4 linked regions of the Anolis sagrei genome follow. The main gene of each other region encodes a partner of the protein of the gene in region 3 in a complex. Links are inferred from orthologs where the notes say so. Each region holds a gene or a part of one and is shown on either strand. Other genes may lie near its edges. The genes, in order: THOC7, THOC6, CHTOP and THOC3.

Region 1 (7,384 bases), on a different chromosome or scaffold from region 3:
AACTGGCCGTCTGAAAGGATGTGGCCCAGATGTTTTGATGTTTTATCATTCCTGTGGGAGGCTAGAGCTGATAAGAGGGAGCTCATCTGTGCTCTCCCCAGATTTGAACCTCCAACCTGTTGGTCTTCAGTCCTGCTGACACAAGGGTTTATTTTATTATTTTAAAGCACCGAGGGCTCTATCTGCATACACGTCTCTGCCACTTTATTTACAGGACATGACTATCTACAGTCAGTGTAAACTGCAAAATACATTATCAAGGTTCATAATTCCAGAGAGAATGCGGAATAATGTACATTTGGAAATGTCAAAATACTTAAGTAACTAGTGTATGATACTTGCTCAGAGTCATTTACATTTCATTACAACCTTTACACTATTTCAATATTTGTTTTCCTGAAAAAGAGTCTTTCTTTGTGTTCATTGAAATATACTCTACCAGTAAAAAACTTCACATTCAAAATGCACTACTAAATGTCATTGGACACAATCCCCATGCCCCTTTAACATTAGTAGATATTACAGAGTACTGGCGTTTGATGGGCTGCACTTAGTTTCCATTTATTGATAAGATTTTACCATGTATAAATATGTGAGAGGAAGCCACAGGGAGGAGGGAGCAAGCTTGTTTTCTGCTTCCCTGGAGACTAGGACGCGGAACAATGGCTTCAAACTACAAGAGAGGAGATTCCATCTGAACATGAGGAAGAACTTCCTGACTGTGAGAGCCGTTCAGCAGTGGAACTCTCTGCCCCGGAGTGTGGTGGAGGCTCCTTCTTTGGAGGCTTTTAAGCAGAGGCTGGATGGCCATCTGTCAGGGGTGATTTGAATGCAATATTCCTGCTTCTTGGCAGGGGGTTGGACTGGATGGCCCATGAGGTCTCTTCCAACTCTCTGATTCTATGATTCTATGATTCTAAGATAGAAAAATACCCTTCTTCTTGGGATCCAGAATTGCACCACTTGATGAAACTCTTCACCAACAAATTAATTCGTCTGTCATCACCAGCACCATCTCCATCAATCAAAAGTCGCTTGCGAATAACTTCATCTAAAGAAGAAACAATATTTCAAAATTAATAATGTTCGTTTATGAGTTGTGATCACAGACACAGGGCCCTTCCACACAGCCCTATAACCCAGAATATCAAGGCAGAAAATCCCACAATATCTGCTTTGGACTGGGTTATCTGAGTCCACACTGAGATGTGGGATTTCCTAGCTTGATATTCCCTGATATAGGACAGTGTGGAAGAGCCCATAGTCAGGACCTAAGGAAATTACCTGAATCTTGGATCAGATCGCAGTACAAAGGGCTGTGTGGAAGGGCCCTCCAACCACAGATGGGGAACCATTCACTTTCCAAAGGTTTTGGCCTCTCTATTTCCATCCAACATGGGCCAATGACTGTGGATTGTGTGATCCAAAATATTTGGAGAGTCAAATGTCCCTCACATCTTCCTTAAATATATACATACTGTTATCAAAATAAGGATATTTTCCTTCTTTTTAGATACATTGTTTAATTAATGCAAATAGGAAATCAGAATCTAACTTTAAAGTAAAATTGATTATTATTACCATTATTATTAACATTGTTATGTGGAGAAAGACAAATCTAAGGGCCCTTCCACATAGCCATATAAACCAGAATACCAAGGCAGAAAATCCCACAATATCTGAACTGGGTTATCTGAGTCCACACTGCTATATATTCCAGTTCAAAGCAGAAAATGTGGGATTTTATCCAGCTGCATGGAAAGTACTTGAAGTGTGAAACAGGAGAATGATACAGGGAATATGGAAACGACCAAATGCAAAAAAAAATTTATTCAGCTGTGTGGAAGTGGCCCCAGATAACCCAGTTCAAAACTGAGACTGTGGGATTTTCTGCCTTGATATTCTGGGGGCTCTTCCACAAGGCCCTGAATGCCAGAATATCAAAGCAGAAAATCCCACATTATCTAAGGGCCTTTCCACACAGCCATATAATCCTGAATATCAAGGCAGAAAATCCCACATTATCTAAGGGCCTTCCCACACAGCCATATAATCCAGAATATTGAGGCAGAAAATCCCACAATATCTGCTCTGAACTGAGTTATCTGAGTCCACATTGCCATATATCCCAGTTCAAAGCAGAAAATGAGGGATTTCATTCAGCTGTGTGGAAGGGGCCTGTGTGGATTCAGATAACCCAATTCAACGCAGATATAGTGGGATTGTCTGCCTTGATATTCTGGGATATAGGGCTGTGTGGAAGGGCCCTCAGATAACCCAGTTCAAAGCAGATATTGTGGGATTGTCTGCCTTGATATTCTGGGCTATAGGGCTGTGTGGGTTGTCTGAGTCCACATTGCCACAATATCTGCTTTGAACTGGGTTATCTGAGGGCCCTTCCACACAGCCCTATATCCCAGAATATCAAGGCAGACAATCCCACTATATCTGCGTTGAATTAGGTTATCTGAATCCACACAGCTGAATGAAACCCCTCATTTTCTGCTTTGAACTGGGATATATGGCAATGTGGACTCAGATAACTCAGTTCAAAGCAGATATTGTGGGACTTTCTGCCTTGATATTCTGGGCTAGAGGGCTGTGTGGGTTGCCTGAGTCCACCGTGCCATCTATCCCAGTTCAAAGCAGAGAACGTGGGGTTGTATTCATTCAGGTGTGGAAGAGGCCTCAGGGCGCCCCACACTCCTTCCCAAAGGTGAAAACCACCCCAGGAGGGGGAAGAAGAGAGCGAAGGCCTCAGTGAGGAGGAGGGAAGAGGAGGCCTGGAAGAGGAGGAAGGATGTGAAGGCCTTGCTGAGGCGAAGGCCATGAGGGCAGAAGGGACTCGAGCCTGAGGGAAAGGAAGGAGGAAAGAAAGGAGGAAAGAGAGGGCCCGGGAAGGCCTCGCTGGCTGGGAGCAAGAAGGGTCGCGGCGGCCGCTGTCCCCTCCTTGGCCGGCTCTGGAGGCGCTGGGTCTCTCACCATCGGTGACGGCGCCCATGGCGATGGCGAAGGCCGCGGCGGAGGCAGGAGGGAGCGAGTGAGGAAGTGAGGGAGTGAGGCGGCTTCCCACAATGCAGCGGCGGCGGCGGCAGTAGCAGGAGCAGCCGGGTAAGCGGCGGCGGCAGCAGCAGGAGCAGCAGGAGCGGCGGCGGCGGCCATGGAGGGGGAGGAGGAGGCGTCGTCGTCGTCGTGGGCTGCTGCGCCTGGGCCCTGAAGCAGGCCGGGCGCGGGTTCCAAGGGGAGGGCGACTCGCTAGGCTTGGCTCGGCAAGCAGGCCCGCCTCGCCCCGCCCGCCTGCCCCTTCCTCCGCTCCAGGTGAGAGCCAGGCAGGGGGAAGCGTTCACCCACCACCAGAAATCCCTGCCTCTCCCCTTTGGTGACCTTTTGGCCACGCTGGGGAATTAACGCAGTTTGACACCGCTTCGAAGGCAGGTTGGACTTTTGGTGAGGCCCCAGCCAGAGAAGGCGCCAGGCCTCGGGAAACTTTTCAGTGCTACGGGATCCTGGGATTTATAGATTTGGGTGAGGCACCTACACACTGACAGAAGCTAGTGCAGGCCTGGGCGAACTTGGGCCCTCCAGGTGTTTTGGATTTCAACTCCCACAATTGTGGAACTTGAAGTCCAAAACACCTGGTGGGCCCAAGTTCACACAGGCCTGAGCTATAGAGTTTGTGAAACTACATCTCCCATGAATACATAGTATCCAGCCAGGATAAAGTGGGGTCAAACTCCACCCATCCTACCTTTACAGGCATGGCTCAATGCTATGGACTCCTGGGATTTGTAGTTTTGGGTGAGGCACCTACACTTGGGCAGAAAGCTATCTCCAGCCTGAGCCAACTTGGGCCCACCAGGTGTTTTGGACTTCATCTCCCACAATTGTGGAAGTTGAAGTCTAAAACACCTGGTGGGCCCAAGTTCACCCAGGCCTGAGCTATAGAGTTTGTAGAACTACGGCTCCCGCGAATCCATAGCATCCAGCCAGGATAGATAAAGTGGTGACAGACTGCACCCATTCTATCTTAACAGGTATGGCTCAATGCTATGGAATCCAGGGATTTGGTTTTGGGTGAGGCACCTACACTTGGGCAGAAAGCTAGTTCAGGCCTGGGCAAACTTGGGCCCTCCAGGTGTTTTGGACTTCAACTCCCACTAGCTCAGGCCTGGGCCAACTTGGGCCCTCCAGGTGTTTTTTGACTTCAACTCCCACAATTTTGGAAGTTGAAGTCCAAAACACCTGGAGGGCCCAAGTTCACCCAAGCCCGAGCTATAGAGTTTGTAAAACTACATGTCCCATGAATCCATAGTGTCGAGCCAGGATAGATAAAGTGGTGTCAAACTCCACCCATCCTACCTTAACAGGCATGGCTCAATGCTATGGAATCCTGGGATTTGTAGTTTTGGGTGAGGTACCTACATTTTGGCAGAAAGTCAGAGAGTTTGTAAAAGGATAGTTAAAGTGATGTTTTGTTGGGGATGCCACTTGAACATTAGGAAGAACTTCATGACTGTAATAACACCTGTTCAGCAGTAGACTACATGGCCCATGTGGTCTTCATGATTCTGTGTCAAACTGCAATGATTCTACTTTAATGGCCGTGGCTCAATACTATGGAATCCTGGGATTTGTAATTTTGGGTGAGGCACCTACACGTGGGCAGAAAGCCATATAGTTTGTAAAACGATAGTTAAAGTGATGTTTTATTGGGGATTCCACTTGAACATTAGGAAGAACTTCATGACTGTAATAACACCTGTTCAGCAGTAGGCTACATGGCCCATGCAGTCTTCATGATTCTGTGCCAAACTGCATTGATTCTACTTTAACGTCCATGGCTCAATGCTATGGAATCCTGGGATTTGTAGTTTTGGGTGAAGCACCTATACTTTGTCAGCAAACTAGACTCGAGTTTGTAAAACTACAGTTCCCATGGTATCATAGTAGTGAGCCAGGGTAGTTAAAAGATGTGTCAAACTGCATCCATTCTACTTTAAAGGCCATGGCCTCTAGTTATGGGTGAGGCACCTACAGTTTGGCAGAAAGCTAAAGAGTTTGAAAATCTTCCATGATTTTATTGTATTGAACCTGGATAGTTAAAGTGATGTCTTATTGGGGATTCCACCTGAACATTAATAAGAACTTCCTGACTGTGAGAGCTGTTCAGCAGTGGAACTCTCTGCCTCAGAGTCTGGTGGAGGCTCCTTCCTTGGAGGCTTTTAAACAGAGGCTGGTCAGGGGTGCTTTTAATGTAAGTTTCCTGCTTTTTGACAGGATGGTCCACAAGGTCTCTATAATTCTATGTCAGACTGCATCTATTCTGCTTTAACAGCCATGGCTCAATGCTTTTGAATCCTGGGATTTGTAGTTTTGTGAGTCACTTGGGCAGAAAGCTAGAGAGTTTATAAAAGGGCAGCTCTCATGATTCCATCATCTTGAGCCGGGATAGTTAATATAATGTCTTATTGGGAATTCTGCCTGAACATTAGGAATAACTTCCTGACCATTCCACAGTGGAACTTTATGCCTCAGAGTATAGATCAGGGGTCCTTAAACTTTTTAAACAGAGGGCCAGGTCACAGTCCCTCAAATTGTTGGAGGGCCGGATTATAATTTGAAAAAAAAAACATTTATGAATTCCTATTCACACTGCACATATCTTATTTGAAGTGCACAAACACTTATTTGAAGTGCACAAACAATATAATAATTAAAATGAAGAACAATTTTAACAAATATAAACTTATTAGTATTGCAATGGGAAGTGTGGGCCTGCTTTTGGCTTATGAGATGGAATTGTGGTTGTTGTGTGCTTTCTGGTCGTTTCAGACTTAGGTTCACCTTGAGCAAGGACTGGGTAAATGACCTTGGAAGGCCGTATCCGGCCCTCGAGCCTTAGTTTGAGGATCCCTGGTATAGATGGTCCAAGTGATCTTTATGATTCTGTACCAAACTGCATCGTTTCTTCTTTAATGGCCATGGCTCAATGCTATGGAATCCTGGGATTTGTAGTCTTGGGCAGGGAAGGCAAGAGGCTTTGTAAAAGGACAGCTTCCATGATTACATAGCATTGAACCATTATATTTAAAGTGACATTAAACTGCATTAACTTTACTGTAATGGCCATGATTTATTGCCATGACTATGTTATGGATTTAGAATGGTTCCCAAACTGTAATATTTCAGGAATTTTGGATGTGGGCTTCCAGAACCCCTGATCATTTTGGCCAGGGCATCTGAGACCAAATATCCCTTGAAGAATAGCGTTTGGGATTCACTGCTTAATGTGATCATGGGTGTTGATCGGTGAGGTGAGGCATACACACTCTTAGGCAGAGAAGGCTAAAGAACTTGTAAAACTACTGCTCCCGTGATTCCATAGCATTGAGCCATGACATTGAAAGTGGTGTCAAATTGCATTAATTCTACTTTAACAGTCATGGTTCAATGTTATAGAATCATGGGAGTTGTAGTTTGGTGGGCAGAATAGGCCCAGGACGTTGTCAAACGATAGCTCCCATAATTCCATGTGAACTGTAGTTTGTGGAATCCTGAGAACTGTGGTTTGGTGAGGCCTCAGCACTCTTCGGCAGAGAATGTAGAAGACCTTGCAAAGCTACAACTCCCGTGATTCCATAGCATTGAGCCATGACTGTTAAGATGGCGTCAAACTACATTAATTTTACCGTATAGATATGCCCTAAGATTATCTGTATGTAAATATTCCAAATCGAACCAGTGTGGTGCAGTGCTTTGAGAATTCAATGATAGCATTGGAGGCCTGGATTTGGTTCACTGCTCATCCATGGAAACCTGCTGGGTGACCTTGGATGAATCACATCTTCTCAGTTCCCGAAAACCCAAGTCACCTTGGGATTTCTCTAAATCAGAAGTGACTTGAAGGCAAACAACAACAGATAGCCCAAAATCCTAAATTCAAAATAATACTGGTCCTAAGCATTTTGGATAAAGGATACTCAAGCTGTTCTACCATTATGAGGTCTTTTGTAGCCTGTTTATCGCTTTCATGACCTCCTTCACTGATGCCATTTTCACTATCCCTCACTCATATTATCATTGTTGTTGCCATAATAATTTCATCTCTGCTGCCACTTCTGTTTTCTCCCAACCATTTCTGCCATTACCATCTCTTTTGCTGCTACTACACTGGCCTGCTTTCCTTATTTACCACCTGTTTCCCTTACCTATCAGAGTCATCTATAGCTTTCAGTAGGGCACCATTACTGTAAATGCTTTTCATTATGCTTTGTCATGTGTGCATCTTTTATTGTTATTGTTCCCGTGTTTATATTCTGTGCTGGTATGCTAGGTCTTCTGTTTCCTGTGTATTTGTGGAAAGGCACATCCATTAAGAACACTT
Region 2 (7,021 bases), on a different chromosome or scaffold from region 3:
TAAAACCAAACCCATTAAAACATAGCACTAAAGCATCAATTAAAATCACATGATCCATTATGTATCATATCCACAAGCCTTGTATCTAAATTCAAACCACATTCCACTGACTAAACGAACTGCAGCCTTCCAGGTGTTACTGTATTACAACTGCCATTAGCTCTAGTTATGATGATTATGATGAGGAACATAGGAGTTGTAGTCCAGTATCTGGAGAGCCACATAAAATGACATGGTGGGTCAGATCTGAACAGTCACAAACATGACAGGAATTGCTTGGATTCACCGGACCATAATGATCTACCTGTAAAGGAAACCACTGGCTTCTTGCTCTCTTCCTTGGCCTCTGAACTCAGTGCTGCTGAAAGGCTGTAAAGAGGAGGGAAAGACCGTGAAATGTAACTTGTAATCATTTCAAATTAATGTCTCACCCAAAAACACCCTTTGTGTTAAGAAAGCACTAGCTACCTGAATATGGCAATCTCTCCATAATTGTTCCCAGCCGCTAAATACTTTCCACAAGGCGAGACGCTCTGGGAGTAGACGGTCATGTGCAGCAGCTCAAGGGATCGCTGGATATTCATCTGGCAAAAGGTGGGATGAGAAGTCAGGTCAGTAGTACCACCCTAAATATGCTAGTCTTCACTGGTTTGGCGAAGTGAACAAGATCAAGCCTGGAGATCTCTAGTGTTTGGAAACAATCCGGCCTGTAATTCTGGAGAGTGGCTGTAAATTAGTATGGACAATATTGGGATAAATGGATCAATGAAGAGTTTCCTATCTTCTTGAATTTATGAAGGAAGGATGCTTAAAACTGTTACTGAGTTTTTGTTGTTCATTCGTTCAGACACTTCAGACTCTTCGTGACCTCATAGACCAGCCCACGTCAGAGCTCCCTGTCGGCCGTCACCACCCCCAGCTCCTTCAGAGTCGAGCCAGTCACTTCAAGGATATCATCAATCCATCTTGCCCTTGGTCGGCCCCTCCTCCTTTTTCCTTCCTTTTTCCCCAGCATCATTGTCTTCTCTAAGCTTTCCTGTCTTCTCATTACGTGTCCAAAATACTTCATCTTTGCCTCTAATATCCTTCCCTCCAATAAGCTTTTCTTCCTGAAATATGGACTGGTTGGATCTTCTCATGGTCCAAGGCACTCTCAGAATTTTCCTCCAACACCACAGTTCAAAAGCATCTATCTTTCTTCGCTCAACCTTCCTTATGGTCCAGCTCTCACATCTGTAGGTTACAACGGGGAATCCCATTGCTTTAACATTGCTAATGTGATGTCTCTACTCTTCACTATTTTATTGAGATTGGTCATTGCTCTCCTCCCAAGAAGTAAGCATCTTCTGATTTCCAGTCTGCAGTCTGCATCTGCAGTAATCTTTGCACCTAGAAACACCAACTCTGTCACGGCCTCCACATTTTCCCCTTCTATATGCCAGTTATCAATCAGTCTGGTTGCCATAATCTTGGGGTTTTTTTTAATGTTTAACTGCAACTTAGCTTTAGCACTTTCTTCTTTCACCTTGATTAGAAAGCACCTGGGGAAAGTGGAAGGCAAAAGGAAGAGGGGCCGACCAAGGGCAAGATGGATGGATGGCATCCTTGAAGTGACTGGACTGACCTTGAGGGAGCTGGGGGTGGTAACGGCCGACAAGGAGCTCTGGCGTGGGCTGGTCCATGAGGTCACGAAGACTCGGAGACGACTGAACGAATGAACAACAACAACAAGAAAGCACCTCAGCTCCTCCTCGCTTTTGCCCATCAAAGTGGTATCATCTGCATATTTAAGGTTGCTAATGTTTCTTCCAGCTATTTTAACCCTGACCTTGCATTCATCAAGCCCTGCATGATGTGTTCTGCATACAAGTTGAATAGGTTGGGTGAGAGTATACAACCCTGCCGTACGCCTTTCCCAATCTTGAACCAGTCTGTTGTTCCATGGTCAGTTCTTACTGTTGTTACTTGGTCCTTATACAGATTCCTCAGGAGAGAGATAAGGTGATTTGGTATCCCCATACCACCAAGAACTTGCCACAAATTATTAGGATCCACACAGACAAAGGCTTTAGAATAGTTACTGAGTCTACCTACTATTAAAATACCTTTGCTTATGTGTCGTAAGATGCTTTAAGTCAGATATAGGCAAACAGCCCTTCAGGTGTTTTGGACTTCAACTCCCACCATTCCTAACAGCCTCAGGCCCTTTCCTTTTCCCCCTCAGCCGCTTAAGCGGCTGAGGGGGAAAAGGAAGGGGCCTGAGGCTGTTAGGAATGGTGGGAGTTGGAGTCCAAAACATCTGGAGGGCCCAAGTTTGCCCATGCCTTCTTTAAGTGAATTGTTCCAATTGGTTTTTTGGACTTCAATTCCCATCCATCTTGGCCAACAGTCAGGAATCCTGGGAGCAAGAAGTCCAAAATACCTGGAGGAACAAAATGAGACACTGTTGCTTTAAGTGAATTCCTGTCCAAAGATACTAATAATTTCAAAAATTAAGAAACCATATCCATTTATTCACGCCTTCCCCGCAAACCAAAAGAACCACAGAATTGATTTGTTCTCCAAGAAGATTCAGAACCAATTCCAGAAAGCATTCTTCACTTTCTATCTCTATGGGCAAGTAAGGAAAGAGAAGCTTCCACGAGCGCAAGGCATCACGGGAGTCGTAGTCTTCCCAGAGCCATATCCTACCAGAGGGCGGGGAAGAAGCGACAGTTGGGACTACATTTCCCAAGCTACCTCGCGGTGGAGTTACATTCCGTCACGTGACTGAAAAAAGGCATTTTGTTGCTACTTTCCTACGCCGCTTCGTCCCCGGCTTCAAAGAGAGGGCTCCTCCAACCAGAAGAGAGTCGTAAATCGTATTTGCACGGTAAGAATGAGAAAAGCCTTGCCTTATCATACAGCGCATGCGCACAAGAGACCTGTAGGCCCACATCCCCCTTCCTAGGCTAGGCCCTCTACTAACCGTTGGTGGCGCCGCGTTTCCCTCCTCTGCTTGACGCATGCGCAGAGAAGCAACGCGCTTCAATGGCAGGGAAAGCCACGCCCCTTCTGAGGATAGACACGCCCACCGTGAGGGGAATGTATGAAGTCGGTGTTGCTAGGGCTCTCTTAAAATGGCCGCCTGGAGCGCAAAGCACTCTGGGATCTCTATTGCTTGCCTTTCTGTGGGCGTGGGCCTGGATTAGTAGGCCCAAGTCAGGCCAGGGCAGAGAGGTCTTGTCCTGAATTGCCCTCAAAAGGCTTGCCTCCTAATGTGACCTTTTTAGACCCTGAACCTTGGAAAGAAAGACATGACAAGGATACATTCATAATAGATCAAGGAAGGCTATGAGAAAGGTTGCATTACGGGAACTGTGCTGGTACGGCTGTAAAGATAGTCCCCTGACATTAAGTCCAGTCATGTCTGACTCTGGGGGGTGGTGCTCATCTCCATTTCAAAGCCGAAGAGCCAGCGTTGTCCGTAGACACCTCCAAGGTCATGTGGCCGGCATGACTGCATGGAGCGCCGTTACCTTCCCGCCGGAGCGGTACTTATTGATCTACTCACATTTGCATGTTTTCGAACTGCTAGGTTGGCAGAAGCTAGGGCTGACAGCAGAAGCTCACGCCGCTCCCCGGAATCGAACCTGAGACCTTTTGATCAACAAGCTCAGCAGCTCAGTGCTTTAACCCACTGCGCCACCGGGGGCTCCAATAGGGCCAATGACCCATCAATGATTATGTTGTTTAGTTCCGCCCCTTTTTCTGGGTTAAGGAGGGGGAAAGGGGGGCCTGTAGTCAGGCCTGTAGCGAGGGGGTGGTTTTAGGGGTTCAACCCCCCCCCCCCCCTGAAATGTTTCAGATTTTTTAAAAAACCTGGTTTACTCATGAATTTTAACTGGTTAACCAAATCCCCATGCTAAGTCTATGAGATGCAAAAAATTACAGAGTCCCTCCAGAACTGCAAGCACTATCTCAAGCAAATATTGACAATTTATCCACACTGTCATTACTTGCAGCAATAGCCGATGTAGTAAAGCAACCAAGTTGGGTGTGTTTGTGTTGAATTCTCTCATTAAGGAGGCCAGACTTGGTGGAGGTGGTTGACAGGGGCGGAGCTGCAGGTTATTGAAGGCTGCTCTGCCCTCTGCTGTGCTCTTTGCTTCAGCGTGGGCTAGGAGGCAGGTTTCACCCCCCCCCCCCCCCGCAAAATTTTCAACCCCTCCCGAATTTTGTTTCTGGCTACGGCCCTGCCTGTAGTTCAGTTTACACAGAGAAGCCTTTCATACAGGATGTGAATCAGTTCCACCTGTAGAAAGCTTCGTCTTTTACAGCTTTGCTGGGGGATCCAGTCCCACAGCTCTACCGAGAACATCAAGCAAAAAGTGGGTGCTAGAAACAATATCATACGAAAGCTGACTGGCACAACCTGGGGATCACAACCAGATACAGTGAAGACATCTGCCCTTGCGCTGTGCTACTCTGCTGCTGAGTATGGATGCCCAGTGTGGAACACATCTCACCACTAAAACAGTGGATGTGGCTCTTAATGAGACATGCCGCTTTATCACAGGGTGTCTGTACCCTACACCACTGGAGAAATTACACTGCTTAGCCGGTATTGCACCACCTGACATCCGCCGGGAAGTAGCAGCCAATAGTGAAAGGACCAAGGCAGTGACATCTCCAGCTCACCCCCTGTTTGGGTATCAGCCAGCATGTCAATGACTTAAATCTAGAAATAGTTTTCTAAGATCTACAGAGACACTCGCTGGAACACCTCAGCCCTGACACGACAAATAAATACCGAGAACTACAGCATAGCCTTTGTTGGGGAATTTAGTTCCACAACTCTACAGCCAGCTCTTTGCTGGAGAAATACAGCTCCACGGTTTTTCAGCCAGCCTTCACTGGGAAACAAAGGACTTCTTTCCTCTTGAAAATCTACACAGAGACTTTGGCCTGGTAAGGACCTCTTGCGGCAGCCATAATGCAAATTGGAACCGAGTATAGGGGCCCCACGCCAGCAAAGCCTAAATATAGATTGCTCAAGAAGGGGTCAAGGATTTCCCTTATAGAAGGAAGAAACAGTTTATGAAGAAAGTTGCCTGTCCCTTGTGGACAAGATTTAAGCAAGCCACCAGTTGATTCAAAGCCTTGAAGTATTTGTTTGATTTATTAAAGATTTAAGTAACAATAAAAACTTTGTTGAGCTTTCTAAGTCTTTAAAATAACTTTGTGTGGAGAAATCCAAACGGCCTCTCAGCCGAGGCACCCCCGGCGTCCCGTTGGGCATTCAGAAAACACGTCCTGTCTACAGACTCTTTCGCAGGCCCAGCGCGTGACAGCATAGGAACAGTTTTTGTGGACCTTATGGCAGCCCATGTTATGGTGCAACATGAAACCAAACCGTAGCTAATAACAACAGTCCACTGTCCATATATTATTCTTTTCCTCTTCTAATCATTGCAGTTTATCATTGTTTCAGTGGGCTAGGTGTTAGGTGTCCTCCCTTCCTTTTCCTCTTCTCCAAACACACCATTTATGCCATAACATTAGTATTCCTTGAAGCAAAACAGGCATTGCATCCGAACATTAAAAAAACATACAGCACTAAAATAGCCCACTCAGTCCATTGCAAGCATCAACTGTTGTTTGGATCAAGTGTGACCTATTCTGGTATTATGCCTTAATGTTTTACAACCATCAGCAGTGAAGGATACGGTAACAGTCCAGCCAGAAAAGTTATGTACTTGCAAGTGTTACTTCACTTGTTTTCAACTGAAGTAAGACAACATCAAGGCTCCTTCTACACTGCCATATAATCCAGATTATCAAAGCAAATACTCCACATTATCTGCTTTGAACTGGATTATATTAGTCCACACCTTCCGTATAATATAAGTCGCCCTAAAGGGCTGAGAACGGCGGTCAACAAATGCAGCTAATAAATAAATAAATAAATAAATAATCCAATTCAAATTATATAATCTGGATTTTATATGGTAGTGTAGAAGGGAGCCGAGTCTCTTTTTAGAGAGAAAAAATTGGGTATTAATAATTATTATAATAATGACTATACTTGGTGTGTATGGATGCAAGTTCTTAGGCTCCTTCTACTTTCATATAAAATCCATATATATATATGCTTTGAACTGGATTATATGGAAGTGTGAATGCAACCCAGTTCAAACCAGATAATGTGGATTATCTGCTTTGATCATCTGGACTATATGGCCATGTAAAAGGGATCTTACATAAACATAAGGTCAAGTCTAGGGATGGGAAGCATTGGCTCTCCAGATGTTGAACTCCAATTCCCATTAGCCTCACCTAGCAGGGCCAGTGGTCAAATATGATGGGGAGAGTTCAACAAGATATAAAAGGACTTCCAGTGTTTCTCATTTTGGCCAAACCTTTGTGGTTGAAAATGAGGTTTTGAATTGGAGATGCTGGGCCATGAATTTAATACATTTCTGAGTCTATGTGAAATAATCAAGTCAATTTAAGTTATTCCTTCTTTTCACACCCAAAAACTTCAGTAAAGACTAGCATTACCATAAATCTCCTAAAGTGCACAGCTCTATAGGATCACCATGTATTCTATATTCAATAGAAGACTGGTTCAACCAGAGAGGTGGGCTGTGGTGGAGCACTTGGTGGGCCAACCTGGACATGGCGTGTTATTTAGGAGCACAGAAATGCTGGACCACTTTGGCGGCTGCCATGTCGAACGGCACAGGGAGACCATTGAAGTCCACATGCATGTGGACAGTTTGAGCAGAGGGGAGGAGGCCATGGGGAGGAGCAAAATCTGGGTACCAGTATTAAGAGACCCTAGGATTGGGACAGTGAATGAAGAGGAGCTCTCAAAAAAGGGGGAGTTCCAGATGGGAGGCAGACAAGGCTAGTTAATCACTTCCCAACAGGGGATTCCCTCAGCCAGGAAGCAGCCAGGCTTTGAAGCTGCAAAGCTATTCAATGAAAGAGCTATAGATCCAGGCAGGAGGCCGACTGCGTTGGATAATACAGAACA
Region 3 (7,926 bases):
GAATCTGCAAAAGACCAACGAAAAGGCGATTCAGCCAGCATTTGGAAACCCTCAATAAAATGATATTGCCATTCCAAATAAGAGGGTAATATTTTTAGACAAGACAATAATAATAATAAAATGATATTGCCATTCCAAATAAGAGGGTAATATTTTTAGACAAGACAATGATGCTTTGAGTTCCCCTAGGGATATAAATGCTGTAAATAAATAAATAATAATATTTGGCGCACTGGGTGCCGTGCCAAAAGATCTCAGCCGGCACTCGGAAACAATAAACATCGACAAAATCACGATCTGTCAATTGACTTGGATCTGTGCGCATCATTTGAAAATACAGCACACAGTCCTAGACGTTTGGGAAGGGTTTGACTTGTGATTTTGGGATACGAAATCCAGCATCTAGATCTCGTTTGCTGTGACATATTGTGCTTTTGTGTCAATAATAATAAACAACAACAGCTAAAATAATAATAGTAAAATAGTAACAGTAAACAATTACTGTTATTTTCTGTAAAATAACAGTAAAATAATAATATACTGTGCCTTCCCATTTATCTATCTTCTCTGGGTGGCCATCTATCAGGAGAGATTGAATTGTGTCTTCCTATCTTTCTACCTATCTGCTCTGGGTGGCCATCTATCAGGAGGGAGCTAATTGTGTTTTTCTATCTATCTATCTATCTTCTCTGGGTGGCCATCTATCAGGAGGGATCAAATTGTGTTTTCCTATCTATCTATCTATCTTCTCTGGATGGCCATCTATCAGGAGGGATTGAATTGTGTCTTCCTAGCTATCTACCTACCTATCTACTCTGGATGGCCATCTATTGGGAGGGATCAAATTGTGTCTTGCTACCTATCTTCTCTGGATGGCTATCTGTCAGGAGGAATTGAATTGTGTCTTCCTATCTTCCCTAGATGGTCATCTATCGGGAGGGCCCAAATTGTGTCTTGTTATCTATCTACCTATCTATTTTTCTAGATGGCCATCTATCGTGAGGGATCGAAATGTGTTTTCCTATCTATCTATCTATCTATCTTCTCTGTATGACCATTTATCAGGAGGGATTGAATTGTGCCTTCCTATCTACCTATCTACTCTGGCCATCTATAGGGAGGGATTGAATTGTGTCTTCCTATCTATCTACTCTGGATAGCCATCTATTGGGAGAGATTGAATTATGTCTTCCAATCTACCTATCTATTTTCTCTGTATGGCCATCTATCAGGAGGGCTCAAATTGTGTCTTGTTATCTATCTATCTTTTCTGGATGGCCATCTATTGGGAGGGATCGAATCGTGTCTTCCTATTTATCTATCTATCTATCTATCTATCTATCTATCTTCTCTGGATGGCCATCTATCAGGAGGGCTCAATTTGTGTCTTTTTATCTATCTATCTATCTAGCCTTTCTGTACGGCCATCTATTGGGAGGGATCGAATAGTGTCTTCCTATATATCTATCTTCTCTGGATGGCCATCTATCTGGAGGGATTGAATTGTGTCTTGTTATCTATCTACCTATCTATCTTTTCTGGATGGCCATCTATCTGGAGAGATCGGATCGTGTCTGTCTATCTATCTATCTATCTATCTATTTTCTCTATATGGCCATCTATCAGGAGGGATTGAATTGTGTCTTGTTATCTATCTCTACCTATCTATCTTTTCTGGATGGCCATCTATCTGGAGAGATCGGATCGTGTCTATCTATCTATCTTCTCTGTATGGCCATCTATCAGGAGGGATTGAATTGTGTCTTGTTATCTATCTCTACCTATCTATCTTTTCTGGATGGCCATCTATCTGGAGAGATCAAATTGTGTCTTCCTATTTATTTATGTATTTTCCCTGGATGGACATCTACCGGGACTGCTCAAATTGTATCTATCTATCTATTTATCTATCTACTCTGGATGGCCATCTATCAGGAGGGATTGAATAGTGTCTTGTTATTTTTCTACCTACCTACCTATCTATCTTTTCTGGATGGCCATCTATCTGGAAGGATCAAATGATGTCTTCCTATTTATGTATTTTCTCTGGATGGCCATCTATCAGAGGGATTGAATTGTGTCTTCCTATCTATCTACCTATCTACTCTGGATGGCCATCTATCAGGAGGGATTGAATTGTGTCTATCTATCTATCTATCTTCTCTGGATGGTCATGTATAAGGAGGGCTCAAATTGTGTCTTGTTATCTATCTATCTACCTGTCTATTTTTTCTAGATGGCCATCTATTGGGAGGGATCGAATCGTGTTTTCCTATCTATCTCTCTATCTTCTCTGGATGGCCATCTATCAGGAGGGAGCTAATTGTGTCTTCCTATCTATCTATCTATCTATCTATCTATCTTCTCTGGATGGCCATCTATTGGGAGGGATCAAATTGTGTCTTCTTACCTATCTTCTCTGGATGGACATCTATCAGGTGGGATTGAACTGTGTCTTCCTATCTGTCTATCTATCTATCTATTTTCTCTGTATGGCCACCTATTAGGAGGGATTGAATTGTGTCTTGTTATCTATCTATCTACCTATCTTTTCTGGATGGCCATCTATCTGGAGGGATCGAATGATGTCTTCCTATTTATCTATTTATTTACTCTGGACGGCCATCTACCGGGAGGGATCGAATGGTGCCTTTCTATCTATCTATTCGGCTCAACGAGGGGGCGGGGCCTCGGAAGGGGGTCACGTGTGCTGCCTCTCCCCTCAGCCCCCCCATTTCCCCACTCCCCCTCCCCCCCTCTCGGGGCTCACCGTCGGGCTCGGGCCTGGCTGGCTTCGGCCTGGCCGGGCTCTGCGGGGAGAGGCGGCGGCGGCGGGAGGCTCCGCTCAGGCTTGGCCCGGCCCCCTCCCCGCTCGGGCGCCCCGAACGCAAAGATGGTGGCGGTCTCCGTGTCCTCCTCTAGTCCGAACTCCGCCTCCCCTTGCCCCCTCTCGCTCTCTCTCTTCCCTTTCGGCTCCGGCCTCGCTCTCCACACTCCCCTCAGACGAAGCCCGGCAAAATGGCGGAGGCGGCGTCGACACTGCGCATGCGTTAAGGAGGCGAGGCGGGACAAGCGAGGCCAGTATTGTGACACTGCGCATGCGTTTAGGAGACGAAACAGACCCGAGGAACCAGAATGGTGCTACTGCGCATGCGTTAAAATTGACTGACGGACCAAAACGGTGCCAGTGCGCATGCGTTAACGGAGACTAATCTTGACCGAGTAATAAGAATGATGCCATTGCGCATGTGTTGAAACTAGACAAAATGGTGTCACTGCGCATGCGTTAAAAGAAACGAACCTGGACCGAGTAATAATGATGCCATTGCGCATGAGTTGAAACTAGACAAAACGGTACCTCTGCGCATGCGTTAAAGGAGACTCACCTGGATCGAAAATGACTGATGCCATTGCGCATGCGTTGAAAGAAACGCGGCTGACAAAACGGTGCCACTGCGCATGCGTTAAAGGAGACTAAGCTGGACTGAGGAATAAGAATGATGCCATTGCGCATGCGTTAAAAGAGACTGGCTTGACTGACCAATCGGTGCCACTACGCATGCGTTGAAAACGAGAGGGCTGGACTGACAGGATGGTGCCTCTGCGCATGCGTTAAAGGATCCGGCATTATAGGAGACATCAGGACGGCACCACTGCGCATGCGTTAAGACAGTGAGGGACTGTGACAAATGGTGCTTCTACGCATGCGTTAAAAGAGACTAGATTATGGGACAAGAACGGTGACACTGCGCATGCGTCAAGGAGGCGGGGCTGGATGGAGAAGTACAAGAAGTCTCCAGGGAAATGGCTTCTCCCTCTGGACTTGGCACTCTTGCCTTTCCTATATCTAGGGGCAGGTCCAGCTCTCTTTCGCCCTCCAGTGGCCGTTCCCGAGCATTGCAGCGTGGCTCTCAAATGGAACCGCCTTTTCTGCTCATACATACCTTAAATGTGATCCCTCCCGACAGATGGCCAGTCAGCCTCATAGGCATGACCGGGTTCGTGGAGAAATAAGGCTATGGAAGCAAAGAGTCCCAAGGATTGGAAGAGGGACCCCCAAAGGACATCCAGTCCGACCATCTTTGGCCAGGCAGGGAAAGCAGGATCAAAGCCCTCCTGACAGATGGCCAGAGAAGGAGACGGATGGATACATCGATAGAGACATACATAGATAGATAGGAAGACACAATTCGATCTTTCCCGACAGATGGCCGTTCAGAGGAGATCAATAGATAGACACAATTCGATCCTTCCCAACAGATAGCCATCCAGAGAAGGACATAGGTTAATAGATAGATAGATAGATAGATAGATAGATAGATAGATAGATAGGAAGACACAATTCAAACCCTCCCAATTGATGGCCATCCAGAGGAGATGGATAGATAGGAAGACACAATTCAATCCCTCCTGATAGATAGCCATCCAGAGAAGGAGATATATAGATTGGAAGACACAATTTGATCCCTCCTTATAGATGGCCACACAGAGGAGACAGACAGATAGATAAGTAAGAACACACAATTCAATCCCTCCCGATAGATAGCCATCCAGAGGAGATAGATAGATAGATAGATAGATAGATAGATAGATAGGGACACAATTCAATCCTTCCTGATAGATAGCCATCCAGAGAAGGACATAGATAGATAGATAGATAGATAGATAGATAGATAGATAGGAAGACACATTTCAATCCCTCCTGCCAGATAGCCATCCAGAGAAGGAGATATATAGATTGGAAGACACAATTCGATCCCTCCTGATAGATAGCCATCCAGAGAAGGAGATAGATAGATAGATAGATAGATAGATAGATAGATAGATAGGAAGACACAATTTGATCCCTCCTGATAGATAGCCATCTAGAGGAGATAGATAAGACAGATAGATACAATTCAATCCCTCCCAATAGATGGCCACACAGAGGAGAGACAGACAGACAGACAGATAGATAAGAACACACAATTCGATCCCTCCCAATAGATAGCCATCCAGAGAAGGAGATAGATAAGACAGATAGATACAATTCAATCCCTCCCGATAGATAGCCACACAGAGAAGGAGATAGTTAGGCAGGCTCTTAGTTGGAAGGGACCCCAAAGAAGGCCATCTAGTCCACCCCCTTCTGCCATCATAGATTGTCTATCCATCCATCCACACAATTCAATCCCTCCTGAGAGATGGCCATTCGGAGAAAGAGCTAGCTGAATAGAATAATAGAATCTTTGTATCAGAGCAGACTGTTTAAAAACAAAAACAACAACAGATATAATAATAATAATAATAATAATAATAATAATAATAATAATAATAATCTGGAATTAAAGTGGAAAGGGATGATTAAGAAAAAGGATTCCTGTATTTTGGGGTTGGGCTGGATGTCCTTTGGGGCTCCCGGAGAGTCCTTTGAGCCTTTTCCCGGAGCAGGAGCATTGCGCATGGAGAGCCAGGTGGATCTTCCTGCTGATCAGGATCCTGGATCTGGATTGCGCTCAGCAAGACACACTCAGCAAGACACACTCAGAGGGATCAACATCGGCTGGAGAGATCTCTCGGTGACAGCAGGTGAGTTGCAAATATCTATCTATCTATCTATCTATCTATCTATCTATCTATCCATCCATCCATCCATCCATCCATCCTGGGCAATGGAAAGAGGGTAGAAGGTGGTCAAAGGGGTCATCCAAGAGGTTAATTAATTATTATTATTGGAATAATGATCATGATGATGATGTATACATTATATATTTGTGTATTATTATAAGAGATGAATTATGTACATATTCCAGACGCATGTGTTGCAATCGGCCCGTTAAATCCACAGCTCTGGATTGAGAGGTACAGACAGTCGGGACATCTGTCGGGAGGGTTTTGGTGGGGTCTTCCCTGCCCACCAGGCTGGATATCCTTTGTGGGTCTCTTCAAATGATGTGCATTGAAGGCCCCTCCCACTGCTGTGTCTGTTTGTGTTTGTGCCCAATTGCCAATCCTGCCAAACCGGGTGCCAAGGAGTGTCTCAGCCACGGATACAAGAGATAAGGAGGCCCCATGGAGGAGGAGGAGGAAGGGAGCGCCCCATTGCATCTTGCAGGCAGAAACAGGCAGGAAACATCCTGAGCAGAAGGGGGTGGGACTGGATGGCCTTCTTTGGGGGCCCCTTCCAACTCTAGGGTACCTACCATTTGTCTGTCTATCCATGTATCTATTATGGTAGAAGGAGGTTGGACTGGATGGCCTCTGAGGGCCCCTTCCAACACTAGGATACTATTTGTTTACCTGTGTATGTATGCATGCAGCATGCATCTATCTATCTATCTATCCATCCATACATCATCCTTCTTTCCTTCTTTCCTTCCTTCCTTCCTTCCATCCATCCATCCATCCATCCTTCTATCCTTTCTTCCATCCATCCTTCCTTCCTTCCCTCCATTTTTCTATCCTTCCATCCATCTATCTATCCTCCCATCCATCTATCCTCCCATCCATCCATCCATCCATCCATCCATCCATCCATCCATCCATCCATCTATCCATCCTTCCTTCCTTCCATCCATCCAAGTTTGCAAAATCTGTGTGTTTTTTTTCTTTTTCCTTTTTTTTCTTTTTAATCTGTGTGTTTGTTTTGTTCTGTTAGAATTGTAACACAATGGTATGGTTGCTGATGACACGATAAATAAATATAAATATCCATTCTATCCTCCTATCCTCCTATCCTTCCTTCCATCCATCCATCCATCCATCCATCTATCCTCCTATCCTTCCATCCATCCATCTATCCTCCTATCCTTCCTTCCTTCCATCCATCCATCTTTCCTTCCATCCATCCATCCATTCTTCTATCCTTCCATCCATCTATCCTCCTATCCTTCCTTCCTTCCATCCATCCATCTTTCCTTCCATCCATCCATCCATTCTTCTATCCTTCCATCCATCTATCCTCCTATCCTTCCTTCCTTCCATCCATCCATCTTTCCTTCCATCCATCCATTCTTCTATCCTTCCATCCATCTATCCTCCTATCCTTCCTTCCATCCATCCATCCTTCCTTCCATCCATCCATTCTTCTATCCTTCCATCCATCTATCTTCCTATCCTTCTATCCATCCATCCTTCTATCCTTCCATTCATCCATCTATCCTCCCATCCATCCATCCATCCATCCTCCTATCCATTCATCCATCCATCTTCCTATCCTTCTATCCATCCTTCCTTCCTTCCATCCATCCATTCTTCTATCCTTCCATCCATCAATCTATCCTCCTATCATTCCATTCATCCACCCATCTGTCCTCCCATCCATCCATCCTTCCTTCCTTCCTTCCTTCCATCCATCCATCCATCCATCCATCCATCCATCCATCCATTCATCTGTCCTCACATCCACCCATCCATTCTTCTATCCTTCCTTCCATCCATCTATCCTCCCATCTATCCTATCTATCTATCTATCTATCTATCTATCTATCTATCTATCTATCCATCCATCCATCCATCCATCCATCCATCCATCCATCCATCCATGTATCTATTATGGAAGAAGGAGGCTGGACTGGATGGCCTCTGGGGCCTCCTTCCAACTCTAATTATGCATCTTTCTATCCATCCATCCATCCATCCATCCATCCATCCATCCATCTATCTATCTATCTATCTATCTATCTATCTATGTATTTATCTATCAATGTATCTATCTATCTGTTATGGCAGAAGAGGGCTGGACTGGATGGCCTCTGGGGAGCCCTTCCAACTCTAGGATACTGTTTGTCTATCTATGCATCTATCTATGCATCTATGGATCTATCTATCTATCTATCTATCTATCTATCTATCTATCTATCTATCTATCTATCTATCTATCTATCTATCTATCTGTTATGGCAGAAGGGGGTTGGACTGGATGGCCTTCTTTGGGGCCCCTTCCAC
Region 4 (7,595 bases), on a different chromosome or scaffold from region 3:
GCAAGGAAATTTACAACTTGGGAGAAATCACCAGATTGTCCTCTTTTAAGGATTTTGAAACCTGGGTTAACTAATACAAGGAGACATGGGGGCTTGGGACAGCCTTTCAGACCTAAGCCTCAGAAGATGATGTTACTTGGACACTGTTCAAGTAACATTTCTAAAACATAACAAGAGTAAAATACAGTTTCAGCTCAGCCCACTTTTTAGGGGAAAAGATCTGATGAAGGAGAGAGATCTACATGGGTTAAAAGTGCAATTAAAAAGTGATGTCTTCTCAGGATTAATTTCTTATTTTAGTACTCCCCCAATTACATGATCAAATACTTGCAAAAGACAGATATTCTTCAATTAAGATTAGTGTCATTTACCTTTGGTGTTCACTGTGGCAATGCACTTAGTGGTGCGGACATCCCAGATACGAATGGTTTTATCTCCAGATGCCGTGACAAATAAGTCAGGGTTACTGGGGTGCCAGCACAACTGATCCACACTATCTCCATGGCCACGGTAATTACTCTCCTTCACCTAGAGAGGGAAATGAAGTACAGTTTTAAATTCCACATCATTATGTACAGATGTGTGCACAAACACACATTTCTGCCTTTCTCAAATAATCCAGCAACTAAACTTTTGGTGAGGCCCCAGCACTCTGAAAGAGAAGGCTAACAACCTTGTAAAACTACAACTTCCATGATTCCACAGCATTGAGTCATGGCAATGGTATCAAAGGGCATTAATTCTGAAGTGTAGATGCAGTCCCAATTTACAAAAGATACTATCAACTTTGTTCTTTCAGGATGAATTTATCCACTTGAATGCAGGAATTTTATTAAATTTCCAGAATATGTAAAATTTATGCAGCTTTACACCAGAGCCTATGCTGGCACTGTGAGTCAAACAGCAGAGCTGCTGAACTTGTTGACCAAAAGGTCAGTGATTCGAATCCAGGGAATGGGGTGAGCTCCTGCTGTTAACCCCAGCTTCTGCCAACCTAGCAGTTTGAAAACATGCAAATGTGAGATTAATAGGTACCGCTTTGGCGAGAAGGTAACAGCACACCATGCAGTCATGCCAGCCACATGACCTTGGGGGTGTCTACAAATAACACTGGTTCTTTGGCTTAGAAATGGAGATGAGTAGAAATGGAGATGAGCACCACCCCACATACTCACACAACTAGACTTAATGTCAAGGGGAAATCTATACCTTTACCACCCCTTTAATTGCCATGGCTCAATGCTGTGAAATCCTTGGAGTTGTAGTTTGATTAGGCAGCCAGCAATCTTTAGCAGAGAAGGCTAAAGACCTTGTAAAACGACCACGGCTTTGAACTTTACCACACAAATGTCATTATGAATTTCATTCAGCCACATCTTGTAACACAAGGAACAGCTACAGTGGTTGCCAACCTTTGGCCTCCAGGTGTTTTGGACTTCAGCTCCCAGAAATCCCAGCCATCTTACCCCTACCTTAGAAACCTTTTAAAAGGACCTTAAAACCTGGCTCTTCTGCTGTGCTTTTGATGAATAGGTTTACATTCTCACACTATTTGTCAACGTTTTGTCATTGGAGTATATGTGTTCCCCTTTGTGGGAAAGCCTGATTCCACAACCCCCACTATAATGAGTCCTCCTCTGCAAATAATCTGTCTCTCTCTCATCTCACCTGAGTTTTAGTTAGTTTTAATCAGTCTCTTTTAATCATTACATGTTGCCAGCCCAGTTTTCTTAGATCTACAGAGACACTCGCTGGAACACCTCAGCAAGCGAGAGTTCAAAAGTGGCAGGCTCAAACCCAGCACCTCAATCCGTGGGTGATACCAGATGAGAGACTCCCCTCTGGGCACACAGAAAACTGGGCGACTTGGAAGGCGCTGAACAGACTGCGCTCTGGCACCATGAGATGCAGAGCCAATCTTAAGAAATGGGGCTACAGGGTGGAATCCTCGGCATGCGAGTGTGGAGAAGAGCAAACCACTGACCACCCGCTGCAATGCAACCTGAGCCCTGCCACATGCACGATGGAGGACCTTCTTGCAGCAACACTAGAGGCACTCCAAGTGGCCAGATACTGGTCAAAGGACATTTAATCCACTACCAAGTTTGCAAAATCTGTGTGGTTTTTTTATCTGTTTGTTTGTTTTGTTCTGTTAGAAATGTAGTACAATGTTCTGGTTGCAGATGACACGATAAATAAATAAGCCCATTTTCATTGTGATTGTGCATATTGTAATTTTATATTGCTATCATATGTTTTATGTAATTATGTTGTTTGTTGTTTATTGTTTGGGTTTTCGGTTTTATTTTATTGTAATTTTCAGTTTGGGCTTGGCCTCATGTCTGCCGCTCGGAGTCCCAATTGGGGAGATGGTGGCCGGGTATAAATAAAGATTATTATTATTATTATTATTATTATTATTATTATTATTACCAGCTGTTAGGAATTGTGGGAGCTGAAGTCCAAAACACCTGGAGAATCACTGATCTACACAGACCATTTAACGTAGTAGGGAAGAAAGTGGTTTGAAAGCATATGCGATTGCTTAGCATGGGAGATCCTGGGACCAGTTTTGGGGTCCGGGTGGCGATTACACAGACCACAGAGCACTAATGCGTATTAAGGGCTTTTCATGCGCTTTGGTGGGAGTTTGCTGTCTGGCCTCCTTTTAAATGGGACCGTGTAGATGGGCCTAAGCAGCGTCACATCAAGTTGCGAAGAACACTGGCCGTGATGGAGGCAAGGCGAGGAGGCTTTGGGCGGGCGCGGCCCACATCCCTCTGCCGCTTACCAGGCGGTCTTTGTCGAGCACGAAGACGCTGGCGGTCTTGTCGAAGGAGCCGGAGGCGAGGCGGCGGCCGCAGCAGCTCCAGGCCACCGAGTGGACCTTGGCGCCGTGGGCTGGGAACTCGCGGCTGCGCGTGTTGGCGCGGAAGAGCTCCTGCATGGCCTGCACGTAGGGAGAGGACGGCGCCGCCATGGCAACCCCACCCCGGACGCTCAGCCCGCGCGCCTTCCGCTTCCGGGACAGAAAGGGCGCGCCTCCGTGACGTCACTGCTCGCGCCTGTGCCTTCCTCTGGAATGGGCAAGTGACAGCTGTGGCCCGGGTTGGGAGTGGGCCTCGCCTCATCCCTTGAGGGCCTTGAACTTCCAGATATCCTAAACTGGCTGGGAGTTCTGGGAGTTGTAGGCCAAAACCCCTGGGGAGCCACAGGTTGAGAAGCACTGGTATAAGAAATGCAGTGTGACATTTCACCCACAGCTATGGCAGGCTCAGAGGTAGTGCGCTTTGTTGGAAACAAGACAAGCGGGGTTTAGCTATCTCTGCAATGTCCAGGATAGGAGAAAGAACTCTTGAGGCAAGTGTGACTGTTGCAATTGGCTACCGTGATTAGCATTTAATGGCCTTGCAGCTTCAAAGCCTGGATCGTTGCTGTCTAGGGGAATCCTTTGCTGGGAGGTGTTACCTGGCCCTGACTGATTCATGTTTCACGGATTGATTCAACCTCTGGACCAGGCATGTAGCGGGGGGGGGGGGGGGGGGGCTTTGGGGGCTTCAGCTCCCCCCCCCCCCGAAATTCACATGGTGGTCCACGAAAAGACCTTACTGCTACATTATTTAAACATGTTTATTCATATCATGATCTGATCACCATGCTCAATATATCCCATATGCATGGGGGTATTGGGGTAACGATACAAAAGGTTTGCTAGGGTAGACCCTCTTTCACTCAGACTCAGCCCCCCCCCCCCCAAATCAAAATCCTGGCTACAGGCCTGCTCTGGGCTCCCAACCTTTGAGGATGCCTGCCGTAGATGCAGGTGAAACGTCAGGAGAGAATGCTTCTGGAACATGGCCACACAGCCCGAAAACCTCACAACAACCCAGCATCCCTTTTCCTTCGGGCACACAAATATCGAGCCTACAACGCCTCGCTTTGGGAGAGGCTTGGCAGCTTCCTCTTCTTTAAAAGAAGCACCAGAGGGAACTTTCTTTGGCCCCACTCCAAATTGATTGACATCAAGGACACAACTCTAGTCTATTGTTCTCTGACCATGACTTACTTAATGAGACATGCCGCATTATCACAGGGTGTCTGCACCCTACGCCACTGGAGAAATTACACTGCTTAGCCAGTATTGCACCACCTGACATCCGCCGGGAAGTTGCAGCCAATAGTGAAAGGACCAAGGCAGAGACATCTCCAGCTCATCCCTTGTTTGGGTATCAGCCAGCATGTCAACAACTTAAATCAAGAAATAGTTTTTTTAGATCTACAGAGACACTCGCTGGAACACCTCTCAGCAAGCGAGAGTTCAAAAGTGGCAGGCTCAAACCCAGCACCTCAATCCGTGGGTGATACCAGATGAGAGACTCCCCCCTGGGCACACAGAGGACTGGGCGACTTGGAAGGCACTGAACAGACTGTGCTCTGGCACCACGAGATGCAGAGCCAATCTTAAGAAATGGGGCTACAAAGTTGAATCCACGACATGCGAGTGTGGAGAAGAGCAAACCACTGACCACCTGCTGCAATGCAACCTGAGCCCTGCCACATGCACAATGGAGGACCTTCTTGCGGCAACACCAGAAGCACTCCAAGTGGCCAGATACTGGTCAAAGGACATTTAATCAGCTACCAAGATTGCAAAATTTGTGTGGTTTTTTTATCTGTTTGTTTGTTTGTTTTGTTCAGTTAGAAATGTAATACAATGTTCTGGTTGCAGATGTCACGATAAATAAATACTTTCTTAATCTGTTATTCTGTTGCAAACATAACTTCAGAGCAACTGGGAAACTTGGGAGGTTCTAACGAGCCGGTTTTGTCCGGATGTACTGTTATCCTTGACAAGTAGCTTCCTCTCTGCAGCACTGTTGTCTCAAACCATCAGCATTTTCTGTAAACAAAGACCTATTGCAGAAACAGGCCGAGATGGCAGTAGTAAATGACATCTCTGAAAATTCCCTTTTAAAACTACGTCTCCTTCAGTGGGAGTTGTAGCTTGGTGAAGCACCCAGCCCTTCCTGGCCTCGCTCTGGGAGAGAACTTTCCTTGGCCCCACTCCCCATCTGAGTAGGCCACGCCCCCTAGTGGGCGGGACCACGCCGAGAGGCAGCATGGAGGAGGAAGACGTTCTCTATGTGGGACCGCTCCCAGGCAAGAAGGCTTCGCGGCAAAAGCGGCGGCGGTGCCCACAGAAACTCGCGGTGAGTGTGGCTGCGCTTGCCCGCAGCCAAGATGGAGGCACTTCCGTTCTGCTTCTGCTCCCGCGCGCGGGGAAGGCTCTGATCTTCTTCGCTCCCCGTTACCTCAGCGTTGACATCATGTTTGTCTATGTGTAGATTTTGAACTGTACCGAGTCTCCTTCTTGGAGAGAAAAGCGGGGTATAAATAAACAACATCGTTTGTATTGTCGAAGGCCGGAATCACTGGGTTGTTGTGAGTTTTCTGGGCTGTATGGCCATGTTCCAGAAGCATTCTCTCCTGACGTTTCGCCTACATCTATGGCAGGCATCCTCAGACGTTGTGACAGTCTGAGGCATTTCAAAATCATTCTCTCCTGACGTTTCGCCTGCATCTATGGCAGGAATCCTCAGAGGTTGTGACAGCCTGAGTCATTCCAGAAGCATTTTCTCCTGACGTTTCACCTGCATCTATGGCAGGCATCCTCAGAGGTTGTGACAGCCTGAGGCATTCCAGAAGCATTCTCTCCTGACGTTTCGCCTGCATCTATGGCAGGCATCCTCAGAGTTTGTGACAGCCTGAGGCATTCCAGAAGCATTCTCTCCTGACGTTTCGCCTGCATCTATGGCAGGCATCCTCAGAGGTTGTGACAGCCTGAGGCATTCCAGAAGCATTCTCTCCTGACATTTCTCCTGCATCTATGGCAGGCATCCTCAGAGGTTGTGACAGCCTGAGGCTATCACAACCTCTGAGGATGGCTGCCATAGATGCAGGAGATACGTCAGGAGAGAATGCTTCTGGAACATGACCATACAGCCCAGAAAACTCACAGCAACCCAAACTACAAGATCATAATCCTAACCCTCATTTTCTGCCTTTTTTGCCCAAAAGAGGTGCGGGCACCTATTCGTTCGCTATTTGGCTCAAAAGTACCAAACGGGGATTTTGAAGCTGAGGCTTTAAGGCCCCTTCTACACTGCCATAATGAAGGGGATAATGGACACCAATTTAATTTGATTTAATTTGATTAATAAATAGCAATGGTATGAAGAATAGTTTCATCAAATAAATTTTCAAACCATAAATCAAATGATAACATTCTTAGACATCAACATCAGGCAACAGTGAAACAATCATCTTCGCCCCCCTCCCTTTTTTGGGACTGTTTTAGATGTTTACATTACGGCAGAGGCGGCCCTAGATAATTTTCAATGGTAAGCAAACAGTATTTTGGTGCCCCCCCCACCCAACCAATCACTGATAGATATATATATTCTGTTTGTCGTGGGAGTTCTGTGTGCCATATTTGGTTCAATTCCATCATTGGTTGAGTTCAGAATGCTCTTTGATTGTAGGTGAACTATACATCCTAGTAACTACAACTTGCATGTCAAGGTCTATTTTCCCCCAAGAGCGCCTCAAGAGCGCCCCTGGGCAAAATCAACTGTACTGCGAATGCTTACTTTGCGTAATGGGTTGAGCCGCCCCTGCATTACGGAGCATGACTGGCACAAACAGGAAGTCCACCTACATCGTAGGATTGACTTTGACACTTTTTAATTACCTAAATGGATTATAGCTGTTTTAAAACATGAAGGGGGCTGGGATATGGTCCCTAGTGAAATGGAATTTTCTTGGCCCTTTAATTCCAATGCAGCTTTCAAATGCCTGAAAAGTTCCAGCAAGGAAAGATAAAACTGTAAGGATGGCTTGGCAGTTGGGCACATTCTTTTTGGTTCCAAATCTAGTATATTGGAATTGTGTTTAAACTGTGATCCTGTGTTTAGAGCTGTTTTGCCCCCTAATGACCTCCCTCATGGTGAGCACTGACAGCGGGTCCTTTTATATATATATATATACCATTATGAATATTAATGTTCAACCATAATTTCAGCCTTTGTATTGTCGAAGGCTTTCATGGCTGGAATCACTGGGTAGTTGTAGGTTTTTTCTGGCTATATGGCCATGTTCTAGAGGCATTCTCTCCTGACATTTCACCTGCATCTATGGCAAGCATCCTCAAAGGTAATGAGGTCTGTTGGAACTAACAAAATTGGGTTTATATATCTGTGGAATGACTAGGGTGGGACAAAGTACTCTTGTCTGCTGGAATGTTGTCTGCTGTGAATGTTTCAACTGATCACCTTGATTAGCATTTGATGGCCTGGCAGTTATTTGGTGTGGCTTGTTAGTGCCTGAGGGAATCTTTTTTTCAGAGGTGATTAGCTGTTCCTGATTGTTATATCGACTGGCTCATTTGTCACAAAAAATCATTGTGTGGATTGCTGAAATCTGGCTTTTGATATAATGACCTGTCTCTGCTAACTAACATACAGTGACTTTTAACAAGCCTCAGAGCACAATCTAAAGCAGTGATTCCCAACCTTTTTTTGACTAGAGACCACTTG

The links.
Region 1: CHTOP (region 3) and THOC7 share a complex: the UniProt entries of both Homo sapiens proteins name them as parts of the transcription/export (TREX) complex. The link is inferred for Anolis sagrei from reciprocal best matches to the Homo sapiens genes CHTOP and THOC7.
Region 2: CHTOP (region 3) and THOC6 share a complex: the UniProt entries of both Homo sapiens proteins name them as parts of the transcription/export (TREX) complex. The link is inferred for Anolis sagrei from reciprocal best matches to the Homo sapiens genes CHTOP and THOC6.
Region 4: CHTOP (region 3) and THOC3 share a complex: the UniProt entries of both Homo sapiens proteins name them as parts of the transcription/export (TREX) complex. The link is inferred for Anolis sagrei from reciprocal best matches to the Homo sapiens genes CHTOP and THOC3.

Annotation. Positions count from the first base shown.
Region 1 is NC_090022.1:33,441,403-33,448,786, forward strand, and holds the start of THOC7 (THO complex subunit 7 homolog), read right to left. Parts: upstream 3,067-7,384; 5' UTR 3,002-3,066; coding exon 2,983-3,001; intron 1,052-2,982; coding exon 934-1,051; intron 1-933. UniProt on the Homo sapiens protein: Component of the THO subcomplex of the TREX complex which is thought to couple mRNA transcription, processing and nuclear export, and which specifically associates with spliced mRNA and not with unspliced pre-mRNA.
Region 2 is NC_090026.1:16,484,817-16,491,837, reverse strand, and holds the start of THOC6 (THO complex subunit 6 homolog), read right to left. Parts: upstream 3,067-7,021; 5' UTR 3,008-3,066; coding exon 2,969-3,007; intron 2,873-2,968; exon of another isoform or gene 2,737-2,872; intron 585-2,736; coding exon 469-584; intron 370-468; coding exon 305-369; intron 1-304. UniProt on the Homo sapiens protein: Component of the THO subcomplex of the TREX complex which is thought to couple mRNA transcription, processing and nuclear export, and which specifically associates with spliced mRNA and not with unspliced pre-mRNA.
Region 3 is NC_090032.1:1,492,497-1,500,422, reverse strand, and holds the start of CHTOP (chromatin target of PRMT1 protein), read right to left. Parts: upstream 3,058-7,926; 5' UTR 2,771-3,057; intron 5-2,770; 5' UTR 1-4. UniProt on the Homo sapiens protein: Plays an important role in the ligand-dependent activation of estrogen receptor target genes. May play a role in the silencing of fetal globin genes.
Region 4 is NC_090022.1:78,399,814-78,407,408, reverse strand, and holds the start of THOC3 (THO complex subunit 3), read right to left. Parts: upstream 3,021-7,595; 5' UTR 2,981-3,020; coding exon 2,792-2,980; intron 529-2,791; coding exon 372-528; intron 1-371. Other genes in the region: SIMC1 (SUMO-interacting motif-containing protein 1), read left to right, coding at 5,121-5,210. UniProt on the Homo sapiens protein: Component of the THO subcomplex of the TREX complex which is thought to couple mRNA transcription, processing and nuclear export, and which specifically associates with spliced mRNA and not with unspliced pre-mRNA.